4 linked regions of the Saccharomyces cerevisiae S288C genome follow. Changing the gene in region 4 together with the main gene of any one other region gives a genetic interaction. Each region holds a gene or a part of one and is shown on either strand. Other genes may lie near its edges.

Region 1 (8,354 bases), on a different chromosome or scaffold from region 4:
AAGAAAAAGTTTGGAAAGCACTCAAACACAAAGGACCAAAAAGAAGACAAGGACGAAGATAAACGACAAAGTATTTCTCAAAGAAAACAGCATACAGAATGGCCAATAGAGGAGAACCGGATCCAAAGAAGAGCACCGAATCAATCTGCTCTCTGACTAAACCGCAGCTTTATTCATTATATGATGATGACGTCGTGAGATCGGAAGATAACGAAATTTACGAAGAATTGAAACGCTCTGTCTCTATAGATTCTACCAAATATAGTAGAGATCAAACTATTGATTCGACTTTTTACTTGGCCCATAAGGTTGGCGGCTCGCTGCCAAGGAACACAGTATCTTCTAATAATTTGGAAAGGATTTTATCAGCATCATCCATTCACGAAAACTTTCCGTCAAGAACCAGACAAACTCGTCAAAATATTCTTCATTACCTGCAAGCTGTATTAATTTTGTCATTGAGCGGTTTCGCATATCATGAACTGTCCAGAAACTTGCACGATAATCATCTCTTACATCCAGATTTTGCATCGAGACCCCTTCTACTGGGTGTCAAACTTTGTAACTGGCTATCCAATGGGGTTCTGCCAAACTGGTTAGGCTACGGTGTTGAAGGACTGTTATTTGGTTCTGTTGTACCAATTCTGGATAATATTTTTCAAACAGAGGTTGTTAAGAGCTCTGTCCACCATGACAGTTTGACCTCTGTTATTAGAAGTATCAATGCCATGTTGGGAGTCACATTTGGGATCAGGAAAATACAGTGGAACTCCTCTTTGCAGGCGGCAGGGGCATGGGGGCTTCTGAATATTATACTGTGGTTGTTTTTTGACGGCTCAATATCCATGTTAATGAGCTGCATCTGCATTGGGGTGGGTTGTTGTATCTCTTGCTACAAAGATATTATCGACGGTTCCCAATTTTTATATTTCATGGATTTTTATTTCCTTGGTTCTCTAATGTTTGGAAAACTAGGAAGATATCTATATTCTCATTAAAGTCGAAATTCTGACGAGTAAATATTATTAATTAGAAGTACAAGAAGATAACATCAGAATGGCTTATCGTTTATATATAACTAATTAACGTAAACACAGTCAGCCATATGGCTGTAACACTTGACATTTCGAGAAATCACATAATAAGCGTTAAATATAAGAGACCCTTCTCTTTCCCTAAAAAAATATAAAAAAGTACAGGTTGTCTATTTATCTAATGGGTGATTCAGTATACAAACTGGACGACGAAGAGCTGTGGTTCCCCACTGGCGTTGAACTTGTACTACCACCTCCAATAGTACCGTTATTAGACGATGGTGGTCCACTCGATATACTTCCCTCCTTTTGTATCAACGTCGCATTATCTACTACACCAGCGGTTGAGGCAGTTGACGGACAAGTGCTTATCCTTCTTTTTATTATATCTTCTCGTAGTTTGCTGGGATTTGTTAATGGCAGGTTATTCTTTCCATAGTTTATTGGATCATTGTTTTGAATGCCAGCTTTCTGCAAAGCGTAATCACCACTGTCGAAATATTTTCTTTTCTGCATGGTATGCTTAAAAATATCTTTCTTTGATGGCAGCTTTCCGTACATTTTGTATAGCTTCATTTCGTTGGGCGAGAATTTGCTGGTATCAATAGTTCCGCTTTCGCCGTTATTCAGTTTAGTTAAATCTGGGTTACTACTATTGGGAGATAAGTTTTCATTCGACATAGCGGCGAGTTAGATATTCAGGTCCCTTTCTTTCGATAAAAATACCCACTTTAATGAGAAGCATTTGATGGTTAATGGACTTTTTTACGTTCTAGTTGTGATGAGGCCAAGCTATCCAGCCAAAGGGGGCTCAGGCTTCCATACTAAAATTTCAGCAAAAGATCGTTCAATACGTGTGGTGCCCGGGTAACAACAAGCCCTGCTACTAATAGCACCATAACGATTAATGTTGGGTAAATATCCACGGGGATACCTAGCCGAGTGGTGATTAATGAGACTTGTATTGGAACCATGGCATGCTCACTAGGATACGAGTCAGACAAGACCTGGAAAGTCACTAGTATTCTCGCGTAGTCTGACTTAGTTCCCTGAAATTCAGTGAAACGTGGTATTGTGATAGTTTGGAGATTATTAATGGAAATTGGATGTATTGCTGACCAACACACTTTAATCTGATATGTTTCGTCTCGCTGTAAGTCCGCCAGTTCAATATACGTAGTATTATGCAACTCCAAGTCAGTGGTATTGGCCTCGATAGTGATCTGACTCATTGCTTCTCCCGATAGTGATATGGAAGATATCAAGTTTACATCTCTTGCATAAGTAGAGCTGTCTCTTGGTTTTTTGAGGGGAAAGTTGTGAGGAACCTTATATAAGATTGATTCTGTATTAGCGTGTACAAATCCGATGAAAAATACAATTGTAGCGATAAACCAGTGAACATTCTGAGGCCGGACCATCTTCTTTTTAAAAATTGAACGAACCTATGTTGGCTTAGTGTGTGCGAATACCAAGGGTCAACAACATTGCTGTGCAGTTAATCTTCATATTCATGTAAACTTCTCATTTTTTCATTGCATATTAGTTTCCGTCATTGATGATCTTTTATAACAATAGTGAGAGGAAACAACTCCCTCTACCTTCAAATAGGGTCGATTCGGGAATATGATTAAAGAGACACCGAATCAAACGCATACATCCTCACAAGCATTTAGTGAGAAAAAATGGCGAGGCCTCAAAATCATCGCCGCAGTAATTGGACAGAAAGAGACGATAATGATGATTATCTGTTTCAGCGATTTCTAGAAGAATCGGAAACGAGGCATAGTAGAGAGCCTTCACCTGTAACCGAGCAATCTCAGCAAGAACTACAGCAGGATGTACAGCAAGCAATCGATGGAATATTTAACTCCCTTAGGAGGAATATGAGTTCTACTTCAAATATAAATAGAGCAGCTAATATGGATGCAACCACAAACGGAAATGGAGGAATCAATGCAGACACTATAAGAGCCACCAACGCCAATACGGCCGATTCCCCATTCACAGCAAGGCAGCAGAGCCCTCTCAGAACTTTTCTTAGAAATTTATTCATTTTAGATTACTTTATTGGGCTAATTTTATTCCCATTTTCCGTATACAACATATTAAGGAGCGGGTTCAATTCAATGACCTTTTCAGAGAATGATTTTATAATCGAAATCGTGGGATACTGGAAATTTGCCAAGATATTTGGTTCTGGTGGCACGACATTAATAGCATATAAGGATACTGGTAAATTAGGGTTGCTTGGAAAGTTTCATAACATCATTGTATTTTACTCTTCACCTGTGATAAAACATATTATGAAAAGTAGAGATGGCAATGAACCCAACTTAAATTGGATAAGACTAATGTTCGCTAAAGCTTTCGAGCTATTTGTCAAAGTCTCTACCATTCTGATCTATTTAGCTTATGGCGTAAGTGGTACCGTTTACATGGTTACCGCTGGGTTTTTCTTCGTATTGTGTCTATTATTCACTGTTATTAGAAGATATAAAGGTGTCCATCGAATGTTGGTGAGCCAAAGGATTACAGGGCCAGGCGTATTCTGATGATGAATCCACGATTATAATTTGTGTATTTGCTTATCTGTAGTAGTTTCTTTCGCATGTGGTCGCTGTATGAGACACTTGACACCAGAGGACGTTTATTTTGAAGCAACTCCTCTATGTAAGAGCTGTTTGCAAGCTTTCCGTACTGTGACACTTGACCATCATAACGTATATTAACGAACTACTAGGGTTGTTGTGGGCTTCTTTCAAAATGGGAATTGTTAAAAACTATTGATAAACGCCACTCACTACATGCATTGATTGTAAGATTTAACTATCCTTTTTACCTGATGTCTCGAAAATAAGCGTTTACAACAACTACTATTTTGCCGTTCTAGTTTAAAACATGGACGCTATAAAACACTAAATATATCAGAAGATTTCACTTAGACACAAAAGAAGGGGGTGAGATCCCTTATCTGTAGTAAAATGTATACAAATTATACGGACATTGTTTCTTTATTGTATCCATGTATACATGTGGGGTCTTGACACTTACAGGTAGTGAATGCTAGACCTTCGAGACTTAAGGTGAGCAATGTTTTAAAACTTTTCTTTTTTTCCCACTTCAGTGGAGTGTCACCCCGGGAAGATATTCACCTATGGTCAATGTAGCAAAAGATAATAAAAAAATATGTATGGCCAAGAATTTATATGATTCTTTCATCAATTAATTAATTAATTATTTGGGGTATGTCTTAAATAACAATAAAAAGGTGTATAAAACAATCATACTGCTTTAATGGGAAGTATGGTTCCTATTACGAACGAAAATAAAAGCTGTTGCGTGGAAATTTTGTAAAATAATGGTTATGATGACTGGTAAAAAAAGAATCTCTATGCTTCGCTAGATTTAATATCTATCAGTTCATGGGAAAATGCTTTCCAGAGCGGACTTGGAGGTGACACCATTAACGGCAGCAATGGACAACAAGATTTGGGCCTTAATTGGGGATAGGTAACCAGCACCCACAGCGTTCTTTGGAACATCTTTGTTGTCAATAAAGTTTAATGGAGTGTTAGCTTGAGCATATACGACTGGGATTTCAGTGCTTTCAATAGTAGATGAGGTTGAGTTGGTAGAACCAGAAGAAACAACAACCAAACCTTGAACGGCAGAACTCAAGGAGTCAATCAAACTGGAAGAGTAACCACCGTCATAGACAATTGGAACAATTGGAACACCGTTTTCTAATAGACCATAAGGAGTAGTGAAGTTACTGTATTCCTTTCTGATAATCGAGTCAGAAGAGATTAAAGTTGGCTTAGAAGCATCGAAGAACCATTTAACTTCGTCTTGGTCATCAACGATAGCAACAGGCAAACCAGCACCGTAAGAACAAGCAGTAGGTGGAGTGAAGACACCGGAGTACACTAATTTGTCAGAAGTGACGGACAAGACACCACGTTTGGTAGCGTTCTTATTGTTAGCGACTGGAATGGCATAAGCGGAATCTTCAGTGACAACAATAGGCTTTTCGGTGTCAAAAATGATAGAGAAGAAGAATGAGACAGCTTCCAAAGATTTGGCGTTGGCAACAACAACGGCACCGGCGGATGACTTATCTTGGATCGTTTCGTTAACAACACGGGCAACATTGTACAATTCGGTAATGTTCAAAGCAGAAGAACTGTTGAATAATCTGGTGTAGTTTGTGTGGGTCAAAGAACTGTTGGTGATTGGTACTTGACCACCTGTTACAATGATTTGTAATTGACTGCTTTCGGCAGTAGTAGTATTGGTAGTACTGTTTGTTCCATTAGCGTAGGTAACATTGCTAGAGTTAGACCCATTCCAGGCCGGCAAAGTGGAGTTGATATTCTTACTGTGAGATGCCTTAACAGCCCTGTATTTGAATAGGTTTTCGATTGGGCTTGCGACGACGGCAGATGAACATGCCAAAAGGGCAGATAAAACAACTTGGAACTTCATTTTCTATTACTGTATTACTTAACTGACGATTAATCCTGTAGATGTTTTTTGAGCTGATTTTTTACAAGCAAGAAAGAAATAGAAGGGATATTCAATAAGAGCAATAACCCAAGAGAACACAGCAGAAGTTCTAGCAAATGTCACCCTCTATCAAGCTTTTTATATTTCAGAGATGATGGTTTTTTTAGTGAGGTACTTTTTTCTCCCTTTTTCCTAATTATTACTAATAGGGTAAAAGAGATATAATAGGCGCTTTCTTTCTTCAAAGTATCGATGTTGAACTGTAGCATCGAGAAGCCGGCTTCACTCCCTACTGAGATTCTTCGGAGTTTGAAGATGCAATAGAGTACGAATATATCCCTTTTCAGCTCCTGAGCCTCTCCATTAGGAAAAGTATAAACTTTCGTCAACTTCTGCGCTAATTTTCGGCCCCTTCTTCGAGAAGTTTCGATTCGTAAAGGGTAAACTATTTAGACAGTGTACCCTTTTTGGGCTCATGTGTCTCTTGGACACATAACATGTCCACATAACATGCCCCGATTGGGTAAAAGTGAGAGACTTTTTCGCCCGCCGGATCTTCCGCGGATGACGAGAAAACTTCGCAAAAAAAAAAGTCACAAAAAAGTCACATAATAAACCAACGAATGGCCGATGTTTTACGGGTAAGCAAAAGTTTCGACGGTGAGAAAAAAACTCATGTGTCTTCAATCCCACATCAAGGCCCCTTCCTCTGGAAAGAGATCCCAATTAGGGATACCCGATCCGAGAATTTGAACATTGTGAGAACATTGAATCAATGATACCGAATGTTTAGCCCTCGCCGCCACATTACCCAATAGGGAATTGAAATGGAAATCGACTACTGAATTTTCCTATTGCTCATTTTTCTCTTTCCTTCAAACCATCGTCGGTAAAAGAAGGGAGTGAAGGGAAAAGCCAAAGATGATTAGGGATTCCGTCAGACATTCCTAAATTTGCCCTTTTTAAAAAATAGCACGCTTTAAGATATGCGTGTGGAACTAGTTCATCATGGTTTGACCTATCCCGAACGCTTTTGTTTCTAGCAATATTTGGTTATGACGATCTTTCAAGCGACGATTAATGAACTTGAAAGTGTAGGTTTTACAGTGATCGGTTGTCGAACCTCCGCTATCGTCTTCCCTGAGTTTCATTCAGTATTGTAAGACTGGATCATCTTATAATTTATAGTTCGAAAGGCCGAGAGGAAGCGCGTGATGAAAGCACGATCTTTTCTCTTTTACGACGTGTTAATAACAAAAATTATATATTCTTACACGTGTGTATGTTATTTCATATTTTTTTCAATATGGTCGATATATATAGATACTTCCTCTACAAAATCGTCCCCTGATCTGCCATCTCTTTTACCTTTTTCAACTACATCAGCCATTTTTCTTGTTTTTCAAGGTAAAAAAACCAGCCATCACCGAGATTGTGCTATTGTGCGTGGATGTATGGATTAAGGGCAGCCTGTAGGTTACTAGGTACATTGTCTTCGGAAAGGTGGTCGTTCAAATACTTCAAGGAGACATATGATAAAGCTGATGTCTATTTTGGTAATTTTTTTCCCGAAAAAAGTGCAGTTATTTATTCATAATGTGCGTTCTACATCCATAGATAAATACTTGAATAAAGAGGAATGTCCTTAACGCGTCCCTACAACGCATTTTTTCTTGTCAAATAGTCAAATCTGGAGTAAGTGTAGCCAATAAAAGGTAAATCTTCCTTGACTGGCGCACTTCCACCTTGCTTTGTCATCTGTTCCCTTTGTTTGGCAGCTTGTGCCATAGCTGGGGAATCTGGAACATTCTCCAACTCATCGGTTGGGAAGAACCTAGTATCGGTGATGGAGCTCAACTTTGGTATATACGGTGCTTCTACTTGTCTGATTGTATTCCAATCAACACCGCGAAAAAATGGATGACTTTTTATTTCATCTGCACCACCATGTCTACCAAGTCTTTGGTCTGCATGAGTTAATAGTCGACGGATTAGATCTTCGGCTTCATAAGAGATATGAATATCATCAGGAAATTGTAGAGTTTGCTCAAAATTCATGATTTTTCTGTACGTTTCCTGTGGAGTTTCGGAACAGAATGGAGGCCAACCAATCAGACACTCGTACATAATTGCTCCAAGTGACCACCAATCACACTCTTGCCCATAACCTTGGTATAAAAATATCTCAGGAGCAATATAATCTGGTGTACCTACGGTAGAATATGCCATTAAACGACGTGATTTTCTCCATGTCTGAATTTGTTGCCTGTTTGACATTGTTAGACTAATAGAATCCACAACCATTGTTTGCCTTTTATTTGCAGTATCGGTTGTATTTGCATTGTAAGTACCTGGCTTGGAAATACCATTAGTTGCCTCATCTTGTTGCAAAAGCTTTTTATAGTAGTTTGAGTCGTGAGTTTTATGGAACCCCGTAGACAACCCGAAATCAGATAATTTTATATGACCTCTAATATCGATCAAAATATTATCTGGTTTAATATCTCTGTGAATGAATCCTAATTTATGAATGGTTTCGATGGCCAAAATACACTCAGCCATGTAAAATCTAGTAACATCCTCTGTAAATAGTTGCCACCTGATTAGCATGGTCATCAAATCACCACCGGGCAAAAATTCCATGATTAAATATAAGTATTGAGCATCTTGGAATGAGTAATATAGCGAAACCACCCATGGAGAATCACTTCCAGCCAGAACATCCCTTTCAGCCTTGACGTGTGCTAATTGGTCCTTTTTGTACATTTCGGATTTTAATAAAGTTTTCATTGCATATATTTTTCCGGTGTC
Region 2 (8,705 bases), on a different chromosome or scaffold from region 4:
GGTACTTATGCGAACTCAATCTTAAACACGTTTCTAGTGACGAGCCAAATATTGCAGTGGACACATGTGGACCCGTAGAAGAATTTGACGAAGAGGATACTTCCATTAATTTTTTGCTTGGTGACTTAATGATAGAGTCAGGAGATGTTGGAGAATCCGAATCATTTGAAATTGTAATACCTATATGGTTCATTGCACTCGCCGGGCCGGTTAATTTTTTAAAAGGGAATAAACTTCTCATTTTGGCTCTCCTACTATCCTTCTCCTCCTCTGCATTCCCGCTTGAACTTGCTAGGAAGTTAGAGTGAGAAGATGGGTTTGAGTCAATACCATCGCTATTAGCAATGTTATTGCTACTATTACTAATATTGTTATTATTATTATATTCTTGGGTCAAATCAGTGACATATGATGGAGTATCGGTTGCTGAGATAGTTGCGTTTCCAAATTTAGAATGGTGTGTTCCTGCGCTCAAGTGAGATGCAGAATCAGTATCGTTTGCATTCCTCGAGCTAGATAACGATAAACTTTGTGAAGGATCAATGTAATCACTAAACGCAGAAAGCCATAATTCACGTTCCTTCGACGTTTCAGTACAAATATAATACTTTGTTGAGGTTGACAGTCCGCTTTTCTTATGCTCAGTGATCAAAAACCCATTTCTCGTTCCAAATCTATCTTCAGGGAGATTGGGTATAAGTTCTATAGAAGATTGTCTCAATTTAATAGTTTCAGTCAACTGATTTTTGTCAAACAATTGTAAAACATCATCGCGCAAAATACCGTACCGAACTCTCCATGTACTATTACCTGTTAGAGTCTTTGGTCTTCTCAGCAAAAGTGATCCGTCTTTCACATTATCATCCATCATTGGAGGTGTCATTACTGTATCTGTACTAATAAATTGGGCGATTTTTAAACCAACATTTTTGGGAAATTCAGGGACACTGAATATGCTTGTATAATACTGATTCAATATGTTCTTTCGCGTATCCACTTTTGTAGGTGATAAAGTCTGAAATAATTGTCTATCAGGTAACGTGGGCAATGGTAAATCGGGAACATGTGATTTCATATATACATCTAATTCGCGAACTTTATGAATAGATTTTGAAAATTTAAACATCTCCTTACCGGATTTCCTGTCTATGATTGCAATTAAAATGGATAAATCATCTTCATTATCCCTGTACAATGTGCTCAGTACTTCAATCTGGATAGTGCCAAAATCCTCCGGTTGAACGAATAATGGAATATCCGACTTAAGACTTTGGGCCACAGACTTCACGGTGCTCACGCTACTTGCATGAGGTCTTCTAAGTGTCTTCAACGAACCTTGGGGTGTTGAGCTAAATGTATTCAAGGTATTGGTTGAATGGATGGATGCCGTTTCTCCAAGTTGTTTTTGTTTTGATGAACTTTCCACGGGAGGATTTGGAGGAAGAGAAGCATTTTGACTTGTTGTTGACAATTTTGTAGAAAGATTGGGGAGTGATGAAGTTAACACAGGTTTCTTTAAATTTTTTGCACTTTGAGCACCAAAATTATCATCCTTTTTATTCAAGATAACCGGAGAAGCCAAATGGCTTGATAAAGGAGTAGAGTTTTTTATATTTCCACTAGAAGTAGGTGAGAAAAAAGTTGGAGGCGCTGGAGGTGGGGGTAAAGATTCGTTAATCGTGGATTTTATGGACAGAGGATCTTTACTGTCCGTATTGACTAGATCCTCTTCGCCAAATGAGGAGTCAAGTAATTGGGTGAAGTCGTCAAGTTTTTCTTTAGATGCTGGAGAGAAACCCAAAGCCTTGTTTTCACCCTCCTTGACTTCCAAAAGGGATGATGGACTTTTGGCTGCTGAAGTAGGAGTTCCAGTAGTGTATGCAGAGGATGTTATAGAAGAATAAACGCGGTCATTTTTTTGTATCGCGTCATTAGTTAGTTGTTGACTTTTACTTTCAGTCAGCTCATCTAAATTATTAGAGGTACTGGCCTTTAATGGAGAATGCAAATGGTTGTTGATAACAGCCGTCATTCTGTTAGGATTTTGAGGGGAACGCAAACGTTCTTGCAATGGAGATTTCGAACCTTTATTAGGTGATTTTATGGTTATCCTAGACGTCGTATAGGTAACAGAGGCAGCTGGGCTAGCCAACTGTTCTGAATGTATTTTTGTAGGGCTTGAGACAGATCTATTGATAATTTTGGGAGATGAGAAGCTACTATTTGCTTCTATTTCATCGTTTAGTATCATGTTCTGTAAATGCTTCCTACTTATTGAAGTATTTGATGTAACACCTATTTGAGGTACTGTAGGCGTTACACTTGTTTCAAGTGCAACGTCTGAACCTTGTTGCAATGGAGGGGACAATGTCGGTATTGGCAAATTAAGACTCTTGATATGCGCTTTCCTTTCAGCAGATCTTGGGGGTAACACAAATGATTGATCGTTAACGTATGAATCTCTTGAGTCATTTTGAACTTGCTCAAGCACAACTTCTAAGGAAGCTTCTCTGTTTTTTTGTAACATATCAATAACCTTTTCCAAACTCTCAATTTCAGTTTCATATTCTTGGACTTGTAGCTTTAGCTTAATGTTTTCCGTAAAAATTTCATCATAGGACGGATTTCTTTCTTTTCCTGAACATGTTCCTTTTTCTATATGTTCTATAGATTTGTCCTTTTTGGATCTATGATCATTGTACTGCGCCAACAATTCAAGGGTGGTACTACCACCATGAGTTGTGGTCAAATTATCTGTCATTGCGTGCTGTTAGTTGAGTGTGAGTTTATTCTAGAATATACACACAGATACTCCTAGCAGCCAGTGTTTCAACAAACGTGATGTTGTATATGCCTGATGTAATCACGAACTCGAACAAAAGGCAAAATGGTAGAAGGCAAGGACAAAGAAGAAAAGAGAAAAAACTTCCAGATACAAAGCTAACACACAAAGGTAAACGGTGATTAAAATGGATATATCGTTGATGTATTTAACAATCTTGAAAAATTCCGTTTAAAAAACATACCAATACGCGCAATAAAAACGGTTCTTATCTGGTACTTTACCTAGTCAGACGATTATTGTTCTTTATAAAACGGCCGCGTTTTTTTTCCAACATCACCGCCGCCATATAACTTTCGACATTCTTAGAGTTGTGGTATAAAGAGCAATGCATATACGTATGTAATCCTAATTGAAATGCTATCTTTGTAACATAATGAATGGTTCAGTTGAGCACATACTTACCATCACCTCCCTCGACAAATATGTCCTGCACATTCTCGAGTGTGATGAGTGTCTGCTTTATGACCATGTCGGCAACTGTGCTGCCGATATGTGGCAAAGCTGTAACATCCCATCTGCGAAGTAACTCTTGCTTAACGCGTGTTTCCTCATTTTTAAACACATCGAGACCACAGCTTGCCACTTTTCCAGATTCAAGAGCGTCTAGTAGCACATCTTCATCTATGCATGTGCCTCTCCCAACGTTAACTATCCTGACACCATCTTTACACCAGGCCAAACTTTTACGATTGATAATATTGTTTGTAGAGGCCGTACTGGGCAAGGCCAAAATGATCAAATCCGCATTCTTCCAAGTATTTGGATCATCTAGATCAGAATGGTACTTAGCGTTGTAATCAAGTAGACTCTTTTGGACGGGACCGGTCCTTTTGTAGTATTCAATGCTCATGTTGAACACTTTGTGCAAGTTAGACCCTATATTTTGTCCGATGGAGCCAAACCCCAATATTAGAACTTTTTTATTCATTGGAGATTCCATTTTTTTCCCGCCAACCGTGTACTTTTCTGCTAAATGTACCACTTTCCTATCCTTGTTAGGCTTGCATTTGTCTGTTCGAGAGGGAAATTTCATTTCCTGACCGTGGTAACTATCTGTAACAATTTCATACGAGTCACTAGAGATATATTTCTTACACTGTTCAACATTACCATTTTCCACGTATTTAAAACAATATTCCCAAAATGAAGTCATTCTAAAGCAGCTAATTGCTAGGAAAATAGCCAATTCTGTGACATGGTCAGCAGCATGTGGTCCAATGTTGCATAAAGTGATACCTTTCGATCTTAATAACTTACCGTCAATAAAGTCACAGCCGACCCATGGTACAAGGATTACTTTTAAAGATGCGGGGAAGAATTCAATATAACTCGAAGGGTTTCCTAACACAGTGAAAAACTCCTCAGTGAGCCAAAAGCCGTTTATTCTATGAGTTTCCAAAAATTTAACAAAATCATCCTTTGTGGACATCTCATATTTATAGAATTCTACCCTTTCTGCCAGTTTGCGATATTCAGGAAGATGACTGGCGACTTCCCATTGGGTTTTATAAGGCACCAAAATTCTTGGTTTGGCAGAATAAGTTACATCTGCTATGTCAATTGAAGTAATCATTGTTATTTAAAGGTTGCTACTTTTGTACACTCAAGTATTTTTCTGTATTTGAGAGAGAGCTATTTGTACTCCACACTCCACCTTTTAGATCTGCGTCAAAGTGTCAGAATAAACATACCGTAAAACGGAATGACTACCGCCACCCCAATGACATAAAAACGGAAGAAAAAGAGCAAAAACCGAGCGCCAAACTATCTTATTCAACGAATCAAATAACAATACAAATGCAGAGGTAAAACATTATTCGCCACATATATATGTACATATCTATATGTATACATATTTTTATATATCAATCTTTTGAAGAGCAAAGTGACCTCTTTGTTGTTATCCAAAGTTTAACCAGTCCAGTTAAGCCGGATCCCAGGGACAGAACGGCATACGTTCCCTTTGGAGTTTTTAAATTTAGAATATCTGATGTATTAGCCATGCAATCAAACGATAATCTTGCAATATCTAAATAAACAAGTGTCTTTTCATCCTTGATGGCCTTTAGTTGTTTGTGTATTAACACCTCTGCGTCGTTATTAACATTTAGGTCATTTAACAACTGTTTCCTAATTGGCGATTGTGAGCCATCGTCTTTATGGGCCTGATGCATCAGTATGGGTGAGAGTAGTAACGCGTTATTTTGAACTTTTAGTTGCACTTCCAATTCTAATTGTCTCTTCTGTAAGCTTTGCAGGTTGAGCCAATGGTCCTTCAAGCTTAAAAGAATGTCGTATTGCCATGCAAGAGACTCTTGTCTACTGACAAAGGAATAGAATGATTTATTTGTCCATATTTTCAATTTGTATAGCAAGTCTAATTCATCAAAGATACCATAATACAAGTCCAAAAATTCTCTCAATGAAGCTTCATTAAACCATATTTTCTTAATTTGGTCAATTTGAAAGTTGCACTTTCTGGTTTTATTGAATTTCCCCAAGAAACTGCACACTCGGAATGGTGTGCCGCCAAACCTTAAAATATATCTAAAAGTACTTAATTGTTGACTGATAAAATCAATTTTCTTGTCAAAATTTCTCAAAAGAGACAGGAGAAGTACTTTAATTACCGTGATTGGATGCCTTAGTGCGACTTTTACAGTCAGATTTTTCAAAATCTTGGTATAGTACGTTAATACGGAAGGGTCCAAAACAGTTAAATTTCGCTTAGACTTTTCGATAAACAGTTTTAATATATCCAGAGCGTATTTGATAATTTTGGCTAATTTGTCTCTACCAGATAGAGAATCCAATATATATTTTAAGATGGTAATATTATCCACCATCTTTGTTTTTGCTTGAGAATCCTCATCATCACTTCTCGAGGATTCAGTATGCGACTCGCTTCCACTGCCTGCACTGAACTTCTCTGCACCGGCGTCTGATGAATGTGGATGGGTATTGTCATCCTGGGCGTCCTGGTAACTTGCCCCAGAATAAGGTGGTGTTTCTGAACCGGAAACGATATCTGTCGTGCCAAACTGACTCATTGTTTTACGACCAGTTTCTATAGGTGAAGACTTACAGGGAAGTTGAGGATATCGACTCTATTTGTTACTTTCTCCAGCATACAAATTACCGATGATTCTGAGAAGAAAGAAGAAAAACGTATTTCAAAAATTATATAACCTGAAATAATAAGCCCAATCCCACCGGAATTTCATATACTATCACCGACCTGGAAAAAAAATGAAGAGTAAAAAGAAAAAAATAAATTTAGCGCCGCTCGGTTTCGATCCGAGGACATCAGGGTTATGAGCCCTGCGCGCTTCCACTGCGCCACGGCGCTGCTAAATCATGTGAGTTTAGCGCGTACCGAGCAAATTCACCAAAATATTTACATCCAATTTGCTCCCCTCACTCTTCCCCGATGTCGGTTGTGATTACTGCTACGCATGGCGACTCTTAATTTCTTTCAGGTATAGTAACATTTACTCCTTTAAGTAATTGTCTATTTTTCCTCGACACTGTATGTAGTTACCTTTCAAGGAAGCTATTCCAATACCATCGTGAGAAAAACTCTATTGGATACTTCATCTAGCTCGTATATATGCTTTTTAAACTTTATACCAAACCGTGTAGGCAAAACTGGACCGCCCGGTAAGTTCTGCTATTAACAAATTAAATAAAATTGGCCAAACTGAGGATTGACAGTTCTGAATATCCAAGATTACTGACTTCAATTTTCTCACTTCTCATCATAATATTCCGCTGATTTTTACATACCGTATATCCAATTTACGGCCCTTCACATATAGCGGCGAAATGATGGTAAAGCTACGCATACTGTCTGACAGGACCCTATTCTAGCAACCTTACATGAAACAAAAACAAACAACATCACATCATACGGATGAACTACGGGTGCAATCCCTGACTCATCAATGTTTATCATAAACTTAGATATCAACACTGATAAACCCCACCTCTATTTTTACTGGTTCTTCACTTTTTCGATGCCGCACCGTCGCCCGCGATCCCCGCCCTTTGATTGCTCCTTCCATTAACAGTTTTTTTCTATCCCTTACAAGAAGCCGAGACGCCGCGAAAATATCGGCTAGTGCGAATAGTCTCTAGCTCTTGCCCTTCGCAAAGCACCGTGCTGCTAATGGCAATCAACAGCGCATCGCCGCTCGCTGAATTTTTCACTTAGCGGTAGCCGCCGAGGGGTCTAAAGAGTATATAAGCAGAGCTTGCGGCCCACTTTCTATCAAGATCTAAGACTGTTTCTCTTCTCTTGGTCTGTATATGTTTTCTCAAAGTTAGCAGAAACAACAACAACAACTATATCAATAACAATAACTACTATCAAGATGGAAACAGGACCTCATTACAACTACTACAAAAATCGCGAATTGTCCATCGTTCTGGCTCCATTCAGCGGCGGTCAGGGTAAGCTTGGTGTCGAGAAGGGCCCTAAATACATGCTTAAGCATGGTCTGCAAACAAGCATAGAGGATTTGGGCTGGTCTACGGAATTAGAGCCCTCAATGGACGAGGCCCAATTTGTGGGAAAGTTGAAAATGGAGAAGGACTCCACAACTGGGGGTTCCTCTGTTATGATAGACGGTGTCAAGGCTAAAAGAGCAGATTTGGTTGGTGAAGCCACCAAGTTGGTGTACAACTCCGTGTCGAAAGTGGTCCAGGCGAACAGATTCCCCTTGACCTTGGGTGGTGATCATTCAATAGCCATTGGTACTGTATCCGCGGTTTTGGACAAATACCCCGATGCTGGTCTTTTATGGATAGACGCCCACGCTGATATAAACACCATAGAAAGCACCCCCTCTGGAAACTTGCACGGCTGTCCCGTGTCATTCCTAATGGGTTTGAACAAGGATGTCCCACATTGTCCCGAGTCGCTCAAATGGGTTCCAGGCAACTTGAGCCCAAAAAAGATCGCGTATATTGGGTTGAGAGATGTTGATGCCGGAGAAAAGAAAATCTTGAAAGATCTGGGTATCGCCGCCTTTTCCATGTACCACGTTGACAAATACGGCATCAACGCTGTCATTGAAATGGCAATGAAAGCCGTGCACCCAGAAACAAACGGTGAAGGTCCCATTATGTGCTCCTATGACGTCGATGGTGTAGACCCATTATACATTCCTGCTACAGGTACTCCAGTGAGAGGTGGGTTGACCTTGAGAGAAGGTCTTTTCTTGGTGGAAAGATTGGCCGAATCCGGTAATTTAATTGCGCTAGACGTTGTTGAATGTAACCCTGATCTGGCTATTCATGATATCCATGTTTCAAACACCATCTCTGCAGGTTGCGCCATTGCAAGGTGTGCATTGGGTGAAACCTTATTGTAGTTTATATCATCATCCCTTTTATCAAAATAAGCATTCTCTTTTTATTTTAGTTAAGCACATGCATACATAAATTTACGAACAAAAAAAGAAAATAAATTAAAAATAAAAGTAGTGTATCTTCGTTACTTTTCATTCTTTTTGGTTAACCCACGTCTAATTGCCAATACACTATCGACGATCACGGCATCTACACCTGCTTCAATTTGTATACTGGCATTTTCGGGATCATTGTTGTCCACACCGTAAGTGACACATACCAGCCCATTAGACTTAACCACTTGCACCAACCGTGGGGCCTTTAAAATGGGTGCTGCAGCAGATACAATCCCCAATAAATTCCACTTCTTAGCAAATCTTATACCGTTTTGTAACGATGAGGCTCTCAAATCGGCCATCTGTTCACTTCCACCTTCCGTCAGGAACAAGATCGGAATAACCGGTTGCTTTAACGAAAGCATGATGCAAATATCCGGATGAAATGACGA
Region 3 (9,750 bases), on a different chromosome or scaffold from region 4:
GGGAGGCCCCACTTGTGATTGGGTGGAGCCTACATTTAGCGGATATGCGCTAGCTGTACTTATAGTATGAGCTATAGCCAAGGCTGCTGTAATGGCAGACCTTCTTCTACTGCTTCTAGGGCTTTCTGCACTGCTACCACCTTGTATCATGTCCTCTTCCTCCCTCAAAAGCTCACCATTTTCAACCAGTTCGGGAAGAAGAGGTTTAGGCTCATGGCCGACAGTCGCCAATTTATTTTCATGCAGCACGCCATAGTAATAATATTGACCACATACAAAAGAATCATTCAATAGAAAATAAATTGCTAAAAGTATCTGAAATAACAATTGCCCTGTTAGCTTTGCCCCTATCAGCGAGGTAATATCCCCACATAACCAAGCCAGCAAAAAATATGGCGATAGCCCATCGACAGATTTATCTCGATAAGTCTCAATTATTTGTGGAAACAATGAAATAACAGAGGTGAAGAAGGATAATGATCCGCACAAATTAGATACAGTAGGCCAGATGCCGTTTGAGCACGACATGAAAAGATTCTTATTTTCACTTTATAATTTTTAGCACCGATAACAACGAACCTTATCGATTGATATCAATAGATACTGGCTTAAGGTAATGAAAAGATTGCTTCTTTATTTGTCTTTGTTGGAGACGAATATTAATGCCTGCAAAAAGTACTTGACGTTTATGTGCACGTTTACGTTTGTTTTTTTTTGATCCCTCCTCAAGCGAAGAGATATACTAAAAGATATACTTAGTGATAACACTGGTACCTATTGTCACTACAAATCACTGAGCGAAATCTTTTTTCTTCGCGAACAATTTCTTCCATGCTGCGAAATTTTGCAGCACGTAAGTGAATGCCGTAGAAGCTAGCAAAAAAAAATGGTGATGAAAAGGTTAATAACAAAACACAATAAGGGCATTAGTTCATTGTTTATTAAAAATATATTATTATATTAATCGAAAGTAATTTCTGTATGTATGCATTTATAAGTTTCAGAGTGAAAATGAACTTAAGAAGAGATAGTCTGGTCACCAAACTTTTAGTACGTGCCACATACACGCTAACGTAATTTTCGGTAGTAGTGCAACCACCACTTTGTGAAAATATTATTGAGGTTTTCCTCTTCGATACTATCCTCCGTATACAGTGGAATACAAAAATGCTTATCATCCAAATCTGATAAATGTTTCAGATTATCATATCCGAAGTGGTAGTTTAACAATACGTTAACTGTTAGTGAAACCAAAATCTTATAATTTACAATAACCTTCTTAGATCTATAGTATTCCCATACTTTGTCTTTGAATATTTCCATTTTTACGGGGTAGTTTGCAAAGTTTTGGCCATTATGAACGATAATTACATCCATTACCCACATAAAAAGTTTATGGTCCATTCTTTGCAATATGTTCCACCATGTATTGCTATTCAAACATCCGCCATTGAATTCATTTTTGAACTCATCTTTTCGTAAAAGATGGGCAACAATTCCTCTGGGATTTAATATTCTTGAATCGTATTTTTCCTTGCAAATTTCACTGAAGCACGTCATCTGTATCAAGTTGACCATTTCCCATGTTTCCTTCAAAGTCCCAAAAGATTGATCAGTTAAAAAATGGTAGAATAGCATCTCATCACCAGTAACCAAACCTTGTTGAGATATAGATTTCAGTTGCAGTAATAGCATCAAGTCAGAAACCACTTGCTTATCTGTTCCATTTTTATAAAAAACCTTTTCCTGTACATCGTGTTCAATAAGCTGTCTTATTTCAAATTCTTTATCTTTGGGAAAATCCATTTTGTTGAGTAGCTGCATTACTTCCTCAAATGATTCAATAAAACATTTTGTTATCAAGCAATTGTCACTTTGTAGAAGTTGACTATATATTTGAAGCCGTACTTTAGATATCAAAGGTGTTTCCCAAATAATTTTCTTTAATTCACTTAATGACGAGTTACGAGTAATGCCTCGGTCCAGTAAATGCTGGAATTTGACCTTATTCTGCTCATTCTTTTTGGCTTTTTCGTCACGTTCTTTATTTTTTTGCAACTCTTCCATTGATGCTAAGTCGATATTTTTGTAGATTTGTTTATCTTGCAATTTCCTCTCTTTGAAATCCTTGGGCGGGAGCCAACTCGGACGGAAATGACTTACGGCCTTTAGTTTGTCCTCTGAAACTAGCATTAGGTCTTCCATTCCCTGACTACTGGCTTCTTTAAATTCCAGTGGTAAACTCTGTACAGATCTTGAACGACCAGAAAGAATACTTTTGGAGATTTTTTCGGAACTATGCAGGTATATTTGGGAGAGATTTTTCATTGTATCCTGGATGTACTGTGAATCAGACACAGGAGATATACCAGGAATGCATGTTGGCGGAAGCTCCTTATAGTCCAGACATGATTCTTTTAAAGTGTTACTTGAATTTGATGTATGTTTTCTAGTACTATGAACCTGATGGAAAGTTTTGTCCACACAGAGAGCCGAAGATGAGTGTTGTTTGCCTTCGCAATTGTTCTCCTGTATTAATATCTCTTCATCCCCCCGCGCTGAATCTAAACTCATTTCTTTTCTATTAAACTTAGATAATGTTAAAAAAGAACTGGTCGATAAAGATGCCATTGGAATGTTCCAAATTAACGAGCCGTCGACATCGCCCTCTTGAAGTTCCAAGTTAACGTCTTGATCTTCATAAAATTTTTCTTTCATTTTTATGGCTTTACGCAAAGATTGGTCATTTTGCTCTTTCCTTAAACGGTAACGTTGAGAAGGAGTAAGTTGGGTTGTTTTATATGGTAATATTACAGAAGTACTATTGGAATGCACATACGGCGTTTTTGTGATCGGCATGAGTTTTGGTTCTTGGATAGTTGCGGTACTCATGCAATGATGTTTAAGAGGAGAGTCATTCTCGCTTATGAATGAAGTTTGTGATGCGGCTATACTGTTGGTTGTATTGCTCGATCCAGGCAGCCCTACTGTCCTGGAGAGTTTAGGAGTTGACACCGAATTTTGACGAGATGGAATGCATGTAGTTATGGTACTCATTGAGCAGATTGTTTTATCAGCGCTACTTGCTGTACGTGTTTTCTGTAGTATTGATCCCGGTCGGCTTTTCTTTAAGGGCGTAATATTGCTTCTATGGTCAGCTTCTCTCATACTTTTGAAGAAGCAGTTATCCTCCATCTTACTGTTTGCTATTTCACCCTCTTCTGAGCTTATATCTGATGTACATAAAGAATCAGATGTCGTATTTGAGTGCGATGAAGAAAATATCTCTGTGCTCGATGTACCTATAGAATCATCTGATATTGGCCTAATGCACTTCGCTGTGGGTACGTGTGGATTATTATTACCTAATACATTTTTAACAACATCTTGGCTAGCGAAATTGAAATCTAGGTTGGAGCTAGGGCGTCTTGTTCCAATATTCTTTCCGTTCGAACCTGTAGTGCTACTGGATGCACTACTGCCTGATCGGGATTTAGACAACGGAAGGCTGCAACTTTTGCGTTCGGTATATTCTGAAAGCATCAACTCCTTTGTGGAAAACTTCTTAGGTTGATTTTGTTTCAGATGCGTTGAGTCCTCCTCCTTTAAAGGGTCTAGCTTAGACGTATTAGGAACTATATTAATCAAACGACGTGCTGTCATACAATAAAATTGAATGTCACAGAAAGCTAAAGAGCTGAAGTAAAATAATGAAGCAAAGGTGGAAGCCCGAAAATAAAGTTAAAATTCAAAGCTTGTAACGAACGTATGAATGAAAGCACTAATTGAGAAAAAACTGAATTTTGTCAAAACAGCTCTATGTTTCAGAATGATAAAAAGGAGAGTTAAAAATACAATGGACAGTGGAATACAGCCAAATGCTCGATAGCTTTCGCAGAAACAGTACAATTAAAGATCAACACTTGTATTCTAATTATAGCAGGATCGATGTTACATCTCTTTTGCTCTCTAATCGGAGCTGAAAAAAAAAAAAAAAAGCGTATATAGTGATCTACGCTGATTAACATTATAGATTGCATAAAAGGGAAAAAGGAATTACATGAAGATCTATTCTGCGCGACACACTTTATTGGCGTACTGGCAAGAATGGGCTTTCAAATCTTCCAAGCGTTCACTTTAATGTTCTTATTGGCATGTTAAAATGTATATGCCGTGTCTATTCCCAGCCTTTGGCTCAAATGGTCACTTCACCGCTGTTTAAACATATGGGTAGCGCAGGGACATACACAATTCTACCTATTACAAATCTGCGCCATTTATCTACGAAAAACTGTCCATTGAAAATTAAATCAAATCGTTCAGAACCTTTGCAGTTTGGCGATTTTGAACGACAGGTGCCATGTTCTAGGAAGAGCGGATCTTCGAAAAATGTTCAGAAGCGTTTATACGAGCTCCGACAATTGAAAACTGTATTAAGTGAGACTTTTGGAGTAACTGAATACGCCTCTTTTTTTGAATCTCTACGAAATGCCCTGCATATAAATAATTGCTCAGAAAATGAAAAGAAGAAACTTTTATATGATATCATTTTGCATCAACACGAGTTATACCCAGAGGTGGCAAGAAAAATTGGATTTTATCTACCAGGTGAGGTCCACAGATGGTTCTGGTATCATATTCCAAAATCAGAATCTTTTAATCACTATCTTTTTCTTTTGAAAAGTGATGTTCTTCTCTTTACTTCTAACTACTGTACGAGATTTACCAATAGGCTGATAAAAGGAACTGAGATGGAGAGGCAGTTAGCCACGTTCCAAATATTTTTGCATGATGAGACAAACATAAAATTTATAATGGAAAAAGTTCTGAAGTTGCATACATTTGACAGCTTAATCGCTCTAGTAAATGGCCTTGTTAAGGCGAAAAATTTTAGGTTCATTAAAGTATTTATTCAAGCTCTACTACAGAAGTTGGAACAGCACTGTTATTCTGGTAAAGATGGAGCAAAGCAAAAGAACCTGCGTTATGTCAAGTTCAACAATACCTTACTTTATTACCTTTTGAAAAGTGGAAATGTTGAGTTATTCATCAAAACCTTTCAAGAGGAACTGAAATTCATTGTAAGCTCAGGATTGCTTAATCACATTGATGGAAACGAACACATATTGAATTTTCCCATTCACCACTACTTGAATCTGCTCCGAATATCTAATAGGCAGGAGGAGCTTTTCAATGTAATTTCCTGCTTACAAAGCAGCCCACTGATGAAATATAAATTGTTCAAGGAGTTTTTAATGGGTGAATTAATTGCATCTTTTCAAGCCTTTCGTGACCCGAAATTGGTGTGTAAATATCTCCTCTCATCATACAGCTCAAAGGCGTCTGCTAATATTCTGAATGCCCTAGGGATTTGGGGGTGGCTCTATCATTCAAAATCAACGACTTTGACAGCTCCTACGTTAGCAAGAGAGCTGAAGAACAAAAATAATATTCTACCGAACACAATGCGAATAGGATCACCAGTGACTGTTCCAATTTTAACTGAACTGTATAGAAGCCTTTTATCTTCGAGTTCTGTTTCACTGGAAAGTGGTCAATTCAAGAATTGTCTTCTTGATTTATATTACAAGTACAAGAGTTTTCTTTCCGAGGAAGCTCATAAATACAGGTATTGGAGAAATGATACCGGAATCCTCAATGTTTTCCTAAATTATATTAGATTCCAAGCTCGTGAACCAAGGCTGGCCTACAATGTTCTTCTGGATTTTTATTCTCAACCTTTCGCCAAAAAAGTGGTTTTAACTACCACGCTATGTCCCTTTTCCATAGTAGCCTATAAAAATCATACATTAACGCAGGCTGAACTATCAGAATTGCTACAGGTGATGCATAAAAATGGGGTGCCTTTAACGTTTAAATTTTGTTCTGCAATGGTAATGCATTATGTCAAAATGAGAGACGAAAAAGGAGCACGCTCCTGGTACAATAAGATACTCTTCGGGGGCTTTGAAATCAGGCATATGGCTTTGATACAGATAATAAAAGACCAAGGCTGGCCGTTTCCCAAAAACTTTGACGAAACTTTACTGACGGAATTGGTGGAAAATAATAACATTAAAGAACCTACTGATAGCACCCTGTTTACTGACGAAGATATGTTCGAAGAAGATGGCAAGCCTAGATTTAATGATGATGATGTTAATAAATGTACAAATATTATAAGAGAGACGTTGAAAAGTCTAAATTAATATCCAGATGAGCACTAGTAAATAGTAAATATTCATTCATAGATAGTAATTTACCCATAAGTTATTAATACCTACAAAGTTTTTTCATAAGTTTATGAATATGTCTTCTTGGCCCATGGTTACTTTATTACCTCTAATACCTTATTTACTTTCTCAAATAAATGAGCCCTTGGATTTCATTTACTGAGAATAAAAAAAAGTACCGTGCTCGGCAAAAATGCTCCAGGGGAGGTTCGAACTCTCGACCTTCAGATTATGAGACTGACGCTCTTCCTACTGAGCTACTGAAGCTTTGTTTTGTACAGACGTTACATCTCAGAATGGGATACGTCAGCATGACAATACATTATCCTGAACGTTCATAGAACACATATGAAACCTAAGAAAACGAACAGATTGAGCAACATGAGGTAAAACTCCGCCTTCTATAGCTGGGCTATCTAAACGTATAAATGCCTGAACAATTGGTTTATGAGAAATGGGTGTATTTTGAGAGACTTGTTGGGATTCCATTGTTGATAAAGGCTATAATATTAGGTGTACAGAATATACTAGAAGTTCTCCTCGATGATATTGGAATCCTCTAAATGGAATCTATATTTCTACATACTAATATTACGATTATTCCTCATTCCGTTTTATATGTTTCATTATCCTATTACATTATCAATCCTTGCACTTCAGCTTCCTCTAACTTCGATGACAGCTTCTCATAACTTATGTCATCATCTTAACACCGTATATGATAATATATTGATAGTACAACTATTAGTTGATAGACGATAGTGGATTCTTATTCCAACAGTTTAGATCCAAGGTTCCGCGCTTCCACCATTTAGTATGATCCATATTTTATATAATATATAGGATAAGTAACATTCCGTGAATTAATCTGATAAACCGTTTTGACAACTGGTTACTTCCCTAAGACTGTTTATATTAGGATTGTCGAGACACTCCGGTATTACTTGAGCCCGTAGTACAGCGCAGGCCTCCAGAGTTGAATTATTCTAAATTCCTGAATAATAACAATTTTGCAGACAAAATTCAGGCAATAACTCAAAAGAGTAATCTTTCACTGCATTTAAGGCGCTAAGATTCCCGCCAAAAGTAGTCGTCACAAAAGAACGTATATAAAATGCACTTTCGAGCGGTGACAATGTGAGAAATAGGTAAATATTGAGACAATTGTTGGGATTACCCTGTTTCTCATCTTTTATGTCATCTTTTTACACCGTATATGATAATATGCTAGTCGATAGATGGTGGTCGATTCTTCTTCCTGTATACAAATATATGAGTTGGGGATGTATATTGCAAAGAGCTTGATTATGACACATTGCCAGACCAAAAAACAAATCTCTTTCTATAATGTTCCCAGGTGGGCTAATTTTTTAAATAACGACGGCAGTATATTGATATTGGAGAGAGTTGTATTTATTGTTCGATATTTATTTTGATATCAGCTTTATATTGTAAGTGTTCAATATTTTAATTAGTGTGTATTTTGTAACTTTACTGCCAATTATCAACATAATTACAAAATTGTTATAAAAATTGATGCACTAGTGTTTCGGTTCTTGCTCTTTTAACCAACCGAGCCTAAAAAAGAGGCTCTTGAAAGTAATTTAACCCAAACAATGAGATCTTCATTCTTTTTTTTTTTACCTCAGCTATGACTTGCAGTGCTTTGTATCATACCGCTCGTTTGGTCGTGCTATTTGCAACAATGAACCTCGTTACCCCGAACAAAAAAAAATGAGATATTGAACGCCGCAGCTCATCATGGTAGAATGATGCAGCTAATACCAAAATAAGTTATATTTAGAATGTTGGACATATCAGTTGCATTAGACTAATCGTTCTAGAAGGATACAGAACTTGGAAAGATCTTTGAACGTATCGTAACTGCGTGCTTGCTTTATTTGCCGTTGATTTTTGCTATGACATGCCTAATTTTATGGTATCTGTGGCTCATATCAACTTTTCAGTTAGAGTTTGCAACGGCTAGTACTGCAAATACAACAACTACAGCAAAGTCTGGAACCTCTTCGTCAACGGAGGAGCCGTTTCCTGTACTAGCCGTGGGTAAAGATGGTAGAGGAAACTACTATGTTAATAGCACATTTGGCACTCCCGGTCAACGCCAACGTTTGCTAGTGGATATTATCCAACCGTACATAAATCTGGTTTCCGGAACAAGCGAAAGTCATAACGAATACTCCGGTGTATATCATAAGCATCCCAGCTACCTCATGAATGACTCTACATCATCTGTTCCTGTTTCTCCTGGCCAAATATATGAGATTTCTTTCATTGATGGTAGAGCTGTTAACTGTACTTTGGTGACAGACGATATGAATTTTACAAATGTTTCCTCAGAAAATTCCTCGACCGCTTTGATAACCGATTTAATGGTAACTCGAGATAACGTACAATTTAACTCGGGGAGCCTATCCATTTCAAACGTTTCCTTCTTTGATATTCAGTCCTCGAACTTTAAGACTTCAGGCTTGTTAGGTTTAAGCGGGAAGGTCACAAACCCAGGCAATGCTATCGATAGCTCACAATACACAGAACAGTCTTATTTTCTATCCTTATTGAAAGATGCAGATATCATTGAAAGTTCGTCATATTCACTGTGGTTGGCTGGAGACACTTCCACGTACAAAACATATAGAGATCCAATATCTAATTGTGGGAAGCTACTTCTTGGAGGGGTGGATCCTTCGCTGTTTACCGGTACACTGGGAAAATTTGACTTAATTCCTTACGTTGACCCAGTGAGTAATGCTGTTAGTGTTGGGTACCCAATTGTGCCATTAGGCCCTATTTATATTGTGTCTAACAGCGGACAAAGTTTGAATATGACTTCGAAGGACTTTCTGAGCCCAGCCTTACTTGATTCAACTTCTTCGGTCAGTTACCTGCCAACTAGTACCATTATTCAGATTGCCGTTCAAATTGCGGCCACTTATGTGGAATCACTAGATAGGTGGCTAGTCCAATGTTCTATAGCAGATATGGGTGTCTCCTTGGGTTTCAGGCTTCGAGAATTGACAATTGAAATACCCCTACGTGATTTATTATCATCTACTTACGATACATCCACCAATTCTTCAATGTTTTTCAGTTCTGGACAGGAAGCTTGTTTTCTAACACTATACGCTAATACAAATACTGGAGTAAACATACTCGGAGAAGCCTTCATAAAAAATATATATATGGCAATGGACTTAGAGGATAACACTATAGCCATTGCACAGGCAAAGAAGGTTGAAGATGACGCAGTTACTGAAGAGACAAATGAAACTACCGCGTCCACTATCATCAAGAAGATCAAATCTGGTTACATTCCTTACGCAAAAGTGATGAATAGTAGTAATACAAGAAACTTGACTCTTTATCCATCCTATAGGTCAGGCTATATGTTCACTGTCCCAGGTCAACTGACAGCAGCATACTCAAACGGTGTGATTACAGGTGCGGGCCGGTCATTCTATGATACTTCAAGAGCAAGCACAAGTGCTAGACCATCCAG
Region 4 (5,190 bases):
AAGCTTATTACTCTCAATTCAGATGATCTTGTTCCTTTCCAACATATAAAGCATTTTCTTCCATAGAGTTACGTACTATTCCAGGAGGCTTTTCGGACTCATACCATATAGAAAACTATTTTTATGCTTCTTCATTTACTTCTACTTGTTTATGTTTATTTGTAAAATTACATTATTTAATTTCTTGAAAGTAAAAAACTTGAATTTCTGAAATAAATAAAAACTAGAGAAAAATTAACGATGAGGCATGCGACGGAAATCAATATTGAAACTTCTCAAAGCTGAACCACTGAAAGGGTTCTTTAGGACAATTTTCATTCCCTTAATCAACAAAAAATGACTAAAACCTACATATTCTTCTTAGAAAAAATACATACGCAAAACAAGATAGAAGAGCAACTGTTGATACGATAGCAAGGGTGACAGAGACTATTCAATTATATGTCTTTTATTTTCATTCTTATCACCACTTTTCCGTTTTCAACTTCGTTGACCGCAAATTAAATCTGTTCTTCTGGTGGTTGATTCAGTAATTCTTCGATTATTGGACAAAGCTCTAGTGGCCTAGTCATGCATGAAAACCTTTTAACCACCTTCCCATTTCGGTCTACCACAAACTTTTCAAAATTCCATTTTATCATTTTTATTCCAGACTTCCCGCTTACTGAATTCTTTAAGAACTTGTAGACGGGATCTTGCTTTTGCCCGTTGCAACGGATCTTATGTAGAATAGGGAAGGTTACACCATATTTATCTTGACAGAACTTATTAATCTCTTTATCCTTCTCGAACTCTTGATTTCCGAATTGACCACAGGGAAAGGCCACAATCACTAGACCATGTGATTTGTATTTTTCGTACAAGTACTCTAATTCCTTGTATTGAGGTGTGAACGCACAATGAGATGCTACATTGACTATCAAAACCACTTTGTTACGCAGGGAGTTGAAGGGGAATGGATTTCCGTTTTCATCTATTGGTGAAAAAGAATAAAATTCTTGCATCGTTACTTATAAATATTGTGTTTCTCCGCTTATATTCCTTATACGGGTTCACAATCAGAGAACCTCGCCGTGCACAATATCACCTACATGACTAAAATATATTTGTACATTACTGTGTTATATAATCACTTAATATTGTTCACCATAAGCAATCTCTGTAGTAGAGGTGAGCCCCGGCTTTAAGTTCTCTTAGATGTGGCGAACAAGGGATGAATCGCTTACCCTATAGAATTAGGGAACAGAAGGGGAAAGCAAATACGGAAAATTTTCCACATGAAGACGGTAGTGGGGTATGTCAAGGGGATACTAATGTATAATTAATATATATGTGTGTATCTACATTATTTGGTGTTGTTTTATTGGGTGATGGATCGAAAGGTGGATTCTATCAAGTCCTTCAACTCCTTATAGGATATAATAATACAGTTTAACTCATCGGGCGTTACCAACATTAACTTTTCTTGAATACCAGCGTCTAATTTGTTCAAACATCTTAGGACATGAGTTAAATCCATTATTGGTTTCCCATTCGAATCCACTTGATGGAATACGTAGTCATAAAATAGTATAATGGGGAATTTAGTCCCAGATTCGGACCAATTTATGTCTATTCTTGATTCGATTCTACCAAAAATGCAATTTAGCTTGTTGACCAGCCTAAATAATCTGCCATTTTCTAGTTCTCTTGATAAGACAGACTCCATGTATTCTGTATAGGTTTGTGACGATTCCAGGACCATGAACATCTTATCATAAAAGTGACTAGTAAGATCATGAATGCTCTTTTTGGAATCGCCGTTGTCTGATATCAGATACTTGAGTACATCCTTGAACTTATCATCGATCTGTCTCATGTCATCAATTGATTGAGGGGTTATTTCCTCCAATCGATATTCTTTAGGGGCAGTGTTGTTATTAGAGTTTTCAATATTAATGGATAGGTTAAATAATAGCTCTCCTAAATATTTGTAGTCTAGCTGTTGTTGTCCCTCTATGGTACTTCCGCCGGAAGATACTACGGTATCAGTATCATCATTGAACAAAAGGTCCATAAAATTGCAGTGTGATAACTTGATTCTCCCTGGGTCCCCAGTAATCAAAACTTTTCTCCAGTTTAATGTATTGCCAATACTCAAGTTTTGTGAATGGATAGAGTTTATTACATTGGTGAGTTGAACTAAATATATCCATAAATAATTATTCGTTATTGGAAACTTAGGGAAATTAACAAAGTGGTAATCATACAAAGATAGCGAGTTTGGGTAGTAGTCAAAGACCAAACAAATAGACAGATCACCAAATTTAGTAGTTTGAAAAATGTCCCTAAACTTTATCAAATTTGTACAATTAATTTTTGACCATATCTGATATATTTTGGATATTTTGTTTGGATTCATTGACTTATCGATGTTAGGAAGCCTCTTCAAAACGTAGGCTTTACCGTCATAATTGGAAAAAACTTTGAAGAGCGTAGTTTTATTTAAAAAATCGTTATTATTGAAGTTCAATGGAACCAAATTAAAATAATCTTGTACAATACTTGGTATAACTTTACCTGAAGAGGGGAAAACCTGCAAAATCGATAAGTTTTTCTTGGTTAAATCTTCTCTAATATTGTTTGGAATGAAAAGCTGATCTGCAGACCTTTCATTAGGCTTTAATAATGATTTCAATGATGATGGCTGTTCAGGTGCATATAGGTGATACTGTAGAAGACTGTGAGGAGGCGGATAAATACGTGGGTACTTAAGATTACTACTCTCTATGGGTGGCGGTTGCATAGGAGGTGGCACATTATTAGCCATACTCATATTGTTACTATTATCATCAGTGGCGTTTATATTTATGCCACCAGAATTTGCAATGGAGGGAAATGGAAAAGAATGTGCATTTGCATTAGTGTGAATTGAGGAGGTTGAAGACGGAGTGAAAATGGGGGCATTGAAGGGGTCGTAATTGGAACTCGAAGCGGTAGTTGGTATTGATATGCTTATATTACTATTATTGTTATTGTTATTCACTAACGAGCTATTAACTATCGGATTAATCATCGGATTAACTGTAGAAGCAGTAGCAGAGGTAGCTGCCATGGCGATATTGCCAGTAGCATTTGTAGCAGCGGAGGTGGTATTCGTCACAGTGGTTAAGGAGTCACTACCGACTGTCATCGGAGTGAAACTTGCGGATACTTTAGCATTGAACTTAGGAACTGATGTCATGGTCGGAGTTGTAGCCTCACCCACATCTATTGGAGGAGGAACGTCATTTATGGTAGTAGCGGTAGTGTTATCGCTGTGTTTGAAAGGGCAACCTTCTTTCTCCTTTTTGCAGTAGCCATAAATAGTGATATTTCTGCACGGAATATCCTTCGCCCAATCAGGATTGATTTTGTCCATGGCGTAAGATACGTCTGACTAGTCTTTTAGGCTTACCTATCATCGAAACAGTGCTCCCGCCATTGTTATTATTGCTCTTTTAATTCATAAACCAAATAATTTAGCAGTTTATTTTAAGGTTACCCTGTAAAGGTCTGATATGTAGGGGAGGGCATATAATCATTTTAATATATATGTATATATTCTTACATATATATATAATATCGCCGTAACTTATAGCGTAAACTATATAAAATACGTCTTAGTCTATAAGCTATCACGGATAGCGTCTTGGACGTCTTTGTACACATCTTCGACGGATCTGTCGCAACGAACACGGACGACTTTCGATTTGGTTTCAAAGTACTCGATGACGGGCATACTAGTCTCCTTGAAAGTGTTAAATCTCTTCTTAATGGACTCAATGTTGTCATCGCTTCTACCACTGGTCTTGCCACGCTCCAATAGTCTCTCTAACATGATATCTTCAGGGCAGTCAAAGAACAGGATGAATTTGCTTTCAACGATGTCTCTTTCAAAGGAAATGGCTTGATCCATCTTCCTAGGAAATCCGTCAATTAAGAACTTATGCTTGTTCGCCTTGACGTTATCGGAAATAGCGTTGCGTAAAAGCGCCAAAGTAATCTCTTGAGGGACAATCTGGCCCTCTTTGATGCAGTTCTTGATCAATTCCCCATATTGGGAACCTGCTCTGCCCTGCTCAGCACGTAGAAGGTCTCCGGCTGACAAATGGACAAATGAATAGTCCTTAACTAGTTTTTCACACTGAGTACCCTTGCCTGCACCGGGTCCTCCTAGAACGAAGATCACGGAAACTTGGTCAGGCGAGAAAGCTGGCTGTGATGTAGTGGCAGCTGTCATTTGTCTTATTCAAGAAATTCAACTGGTTCGTTCTTTTGATAGTTTACCGAAATAACTGATGTCACGAGTGCTAAAGTTCCTACGAGTACCAACAATTTGCCTTTGTGTTTACCCTTGCTTTGACTTTTGTTAGCGCGTGGTACGTTTACGTTGGTCTTCGAAGGTGCTGTATTGTGGAAAGTTGGTTTTTTCGAAGAATAAAATCTCAGTATAAACCTGTAGCGTGGATTCATAATATAACTAAGCTAACATAAAAACGGGAGAGGGTGTGTGCGACTAAAGGCAAAGACAGGAATGCATCGCTTTAAAAGATCACCATAACTACTTAAAAGTTTCGTTAACGTGGTGAAAAAGAAAAGAAAAAGAAAAGTGAAAAAAATAAACCTAGGGTTGAAAATATAATCAGTTAGGTGTCATGATATTGATACATTTATTTCTATAGGTCTGAGAGTACTAACTTAGGGTATATGAGGGGTGTTAAGTTGGGATGATGACGCATTAATTAAGAGTTCATTATATGAGGATATTGTATACAATGCAAGAATAGCGCCCCAATCCCGGCCAGGTATAACGTGCAAGCATGAATAAAGAAGAATTATTGGGTTTTCTACTAGATGACAGTATTGATAGCCAAAAAAGATGCGTCACGGATCAGCAGGCCTACTCTAATTGGTTAAAGAATGATAATGATGAACGTACGGCCCATGAGGAAAGCTCTTCACAAAGTACGATAGCCGCATTGAATAAGAAGAAGCAGACAGAAGCTGCTCAAGAAGATATAGAAGAACTGTTAAACGGCTTAGAAGGCATTATTGGAGGAGCCGACCCCCGTAATCTCAAGAGTAAGTCAAAGAGGAAAACCAAAAAGGGCGGATCGAAACCAAGGGAAGAAAACGTGAATACGGAGAAACATATTGTAATGCTCGAGG

What was found.
Region 1: mutations in GPX1 (region 4) and ASI2 together harm fitness more than expected from each alone (negative genetic interaction), as found in Saccharomyces cerevisiae (one large-scale study listed by BioGRID).
Region 2: mutations in GPX1 (region 4) and YPL113C together harm fitness more than expected from each alone (negative genetic interaction), as found in Saccharomyces cerevisiae (one large-scale study listed by BioGRID).
Region 3: mutations in GPX1 (region 4) and ATP22 together harm fitness more than expected from each alone (negative genetic interaction), as found in Saccharomyces cerevisiae (one large-scale study listed by BioGRID).

What each region holds. Positions count from the first base shown.
Region 1 is NC_001146.8:333,713-342,066, reverse strand, and holds ASI2 (Asi2p), read left to right. Parts: upstream 1-2,719; coding exon 2,720-3,589; downstream 3,590-8,354. Other genes in the region: YNL155C-A (uncharacterized protein), read left to right, coding at 1-156; NSG2 (Nsg2p), read left to right, coding at 99-998; IGO1 (phosphatase regulator), read right to left, coding at 1,209-1,715; PGA1 (Pga1p), read right to left, coding at 1,859-2,455; YGP1 (Ygp1p), read right to left, coding at 4,458-5,522; serine/threonine protein kinase CBK1, read right to left, coding at 7,200-8,354.
Region 2 is NC_001148.4:332,726-341,430, forward strand, and holds YPL113C (glyoxylate reductase), read right to left. Parts: upstream 4,419-8,705; coding exon 3,228-4,418; downstream 1-3,227. Other genes in the region: GTPase-activating protein BEM3, read right to left, coding at 1-2,761; PEX25 (Pex25p), read right to left, coding at 4,711-5,895; CAR1 (arginase), read left to right, coding at 7,219-8,220; GDE1 (glycerophosphocholine phosphodiesterase), read right to left, coding at 8,343-8,705. UniProt on the Saccharomyces cerevisiae protein: Putative 2-hydroxyacid dehydrogenase.
Region 3 is NC_001136.10:1,172,579-1,182,328, reverse strand, and holds ATP22 (Atp22p), read left to right. Parts: upstream 1-4,154; coding exon 4,155-6,209; downstream 6,210-9,750. Other genes in the region: YPQ2 (Ypq2p), read right to left, coding at 1-528; SBE2 (Sbe2p), read right to left, coding at 1,069-3,663; YPS7 (putative aspartic endopeptidase), read left to right, coding at 8,153-9,750. UniProt on the Saccharomyces cerevisiae protein: Translation factor specific for subunit 6 of the mitochondrial ATPase. Required for assembly of the CF(0) component of the ATPase.
Region 4 is NC_001143.9:388,880-394,069, forward strand, and holds GPX1 (glutathione peroxidase GPX1), read right to left. Parts: upstream 1,005-5,190; coding exon 501-1,004; downstream 1-500. Other genes in the region: TCD2 (tRNA threonylcarbamoyladenosine dehydratase), read left to right, coding at 1-26; PAN-complex poly(A)-binding subunit PAN3, read right to left, coding at 1,361-3,400; URA6 (bifunctional uridylate/adenylate kinase), read right to left, coding at 3,647-4,261; MIN9 (Min9p), read right to left, coding at 4,267-4,494; SKA1 (Ska1p), read left to right, coding at 4,842-5,190. UniProt on the Saccharomyces cerevisiae protein: Glutathione peroxidase-like protein that protects cells from phospholipid hydroperoxides and nonphospholipid peroxides during oxidative stress. Has peroxidase activity using thioredoxin or glutathione as a reducing power. Involved in peroxisome formation.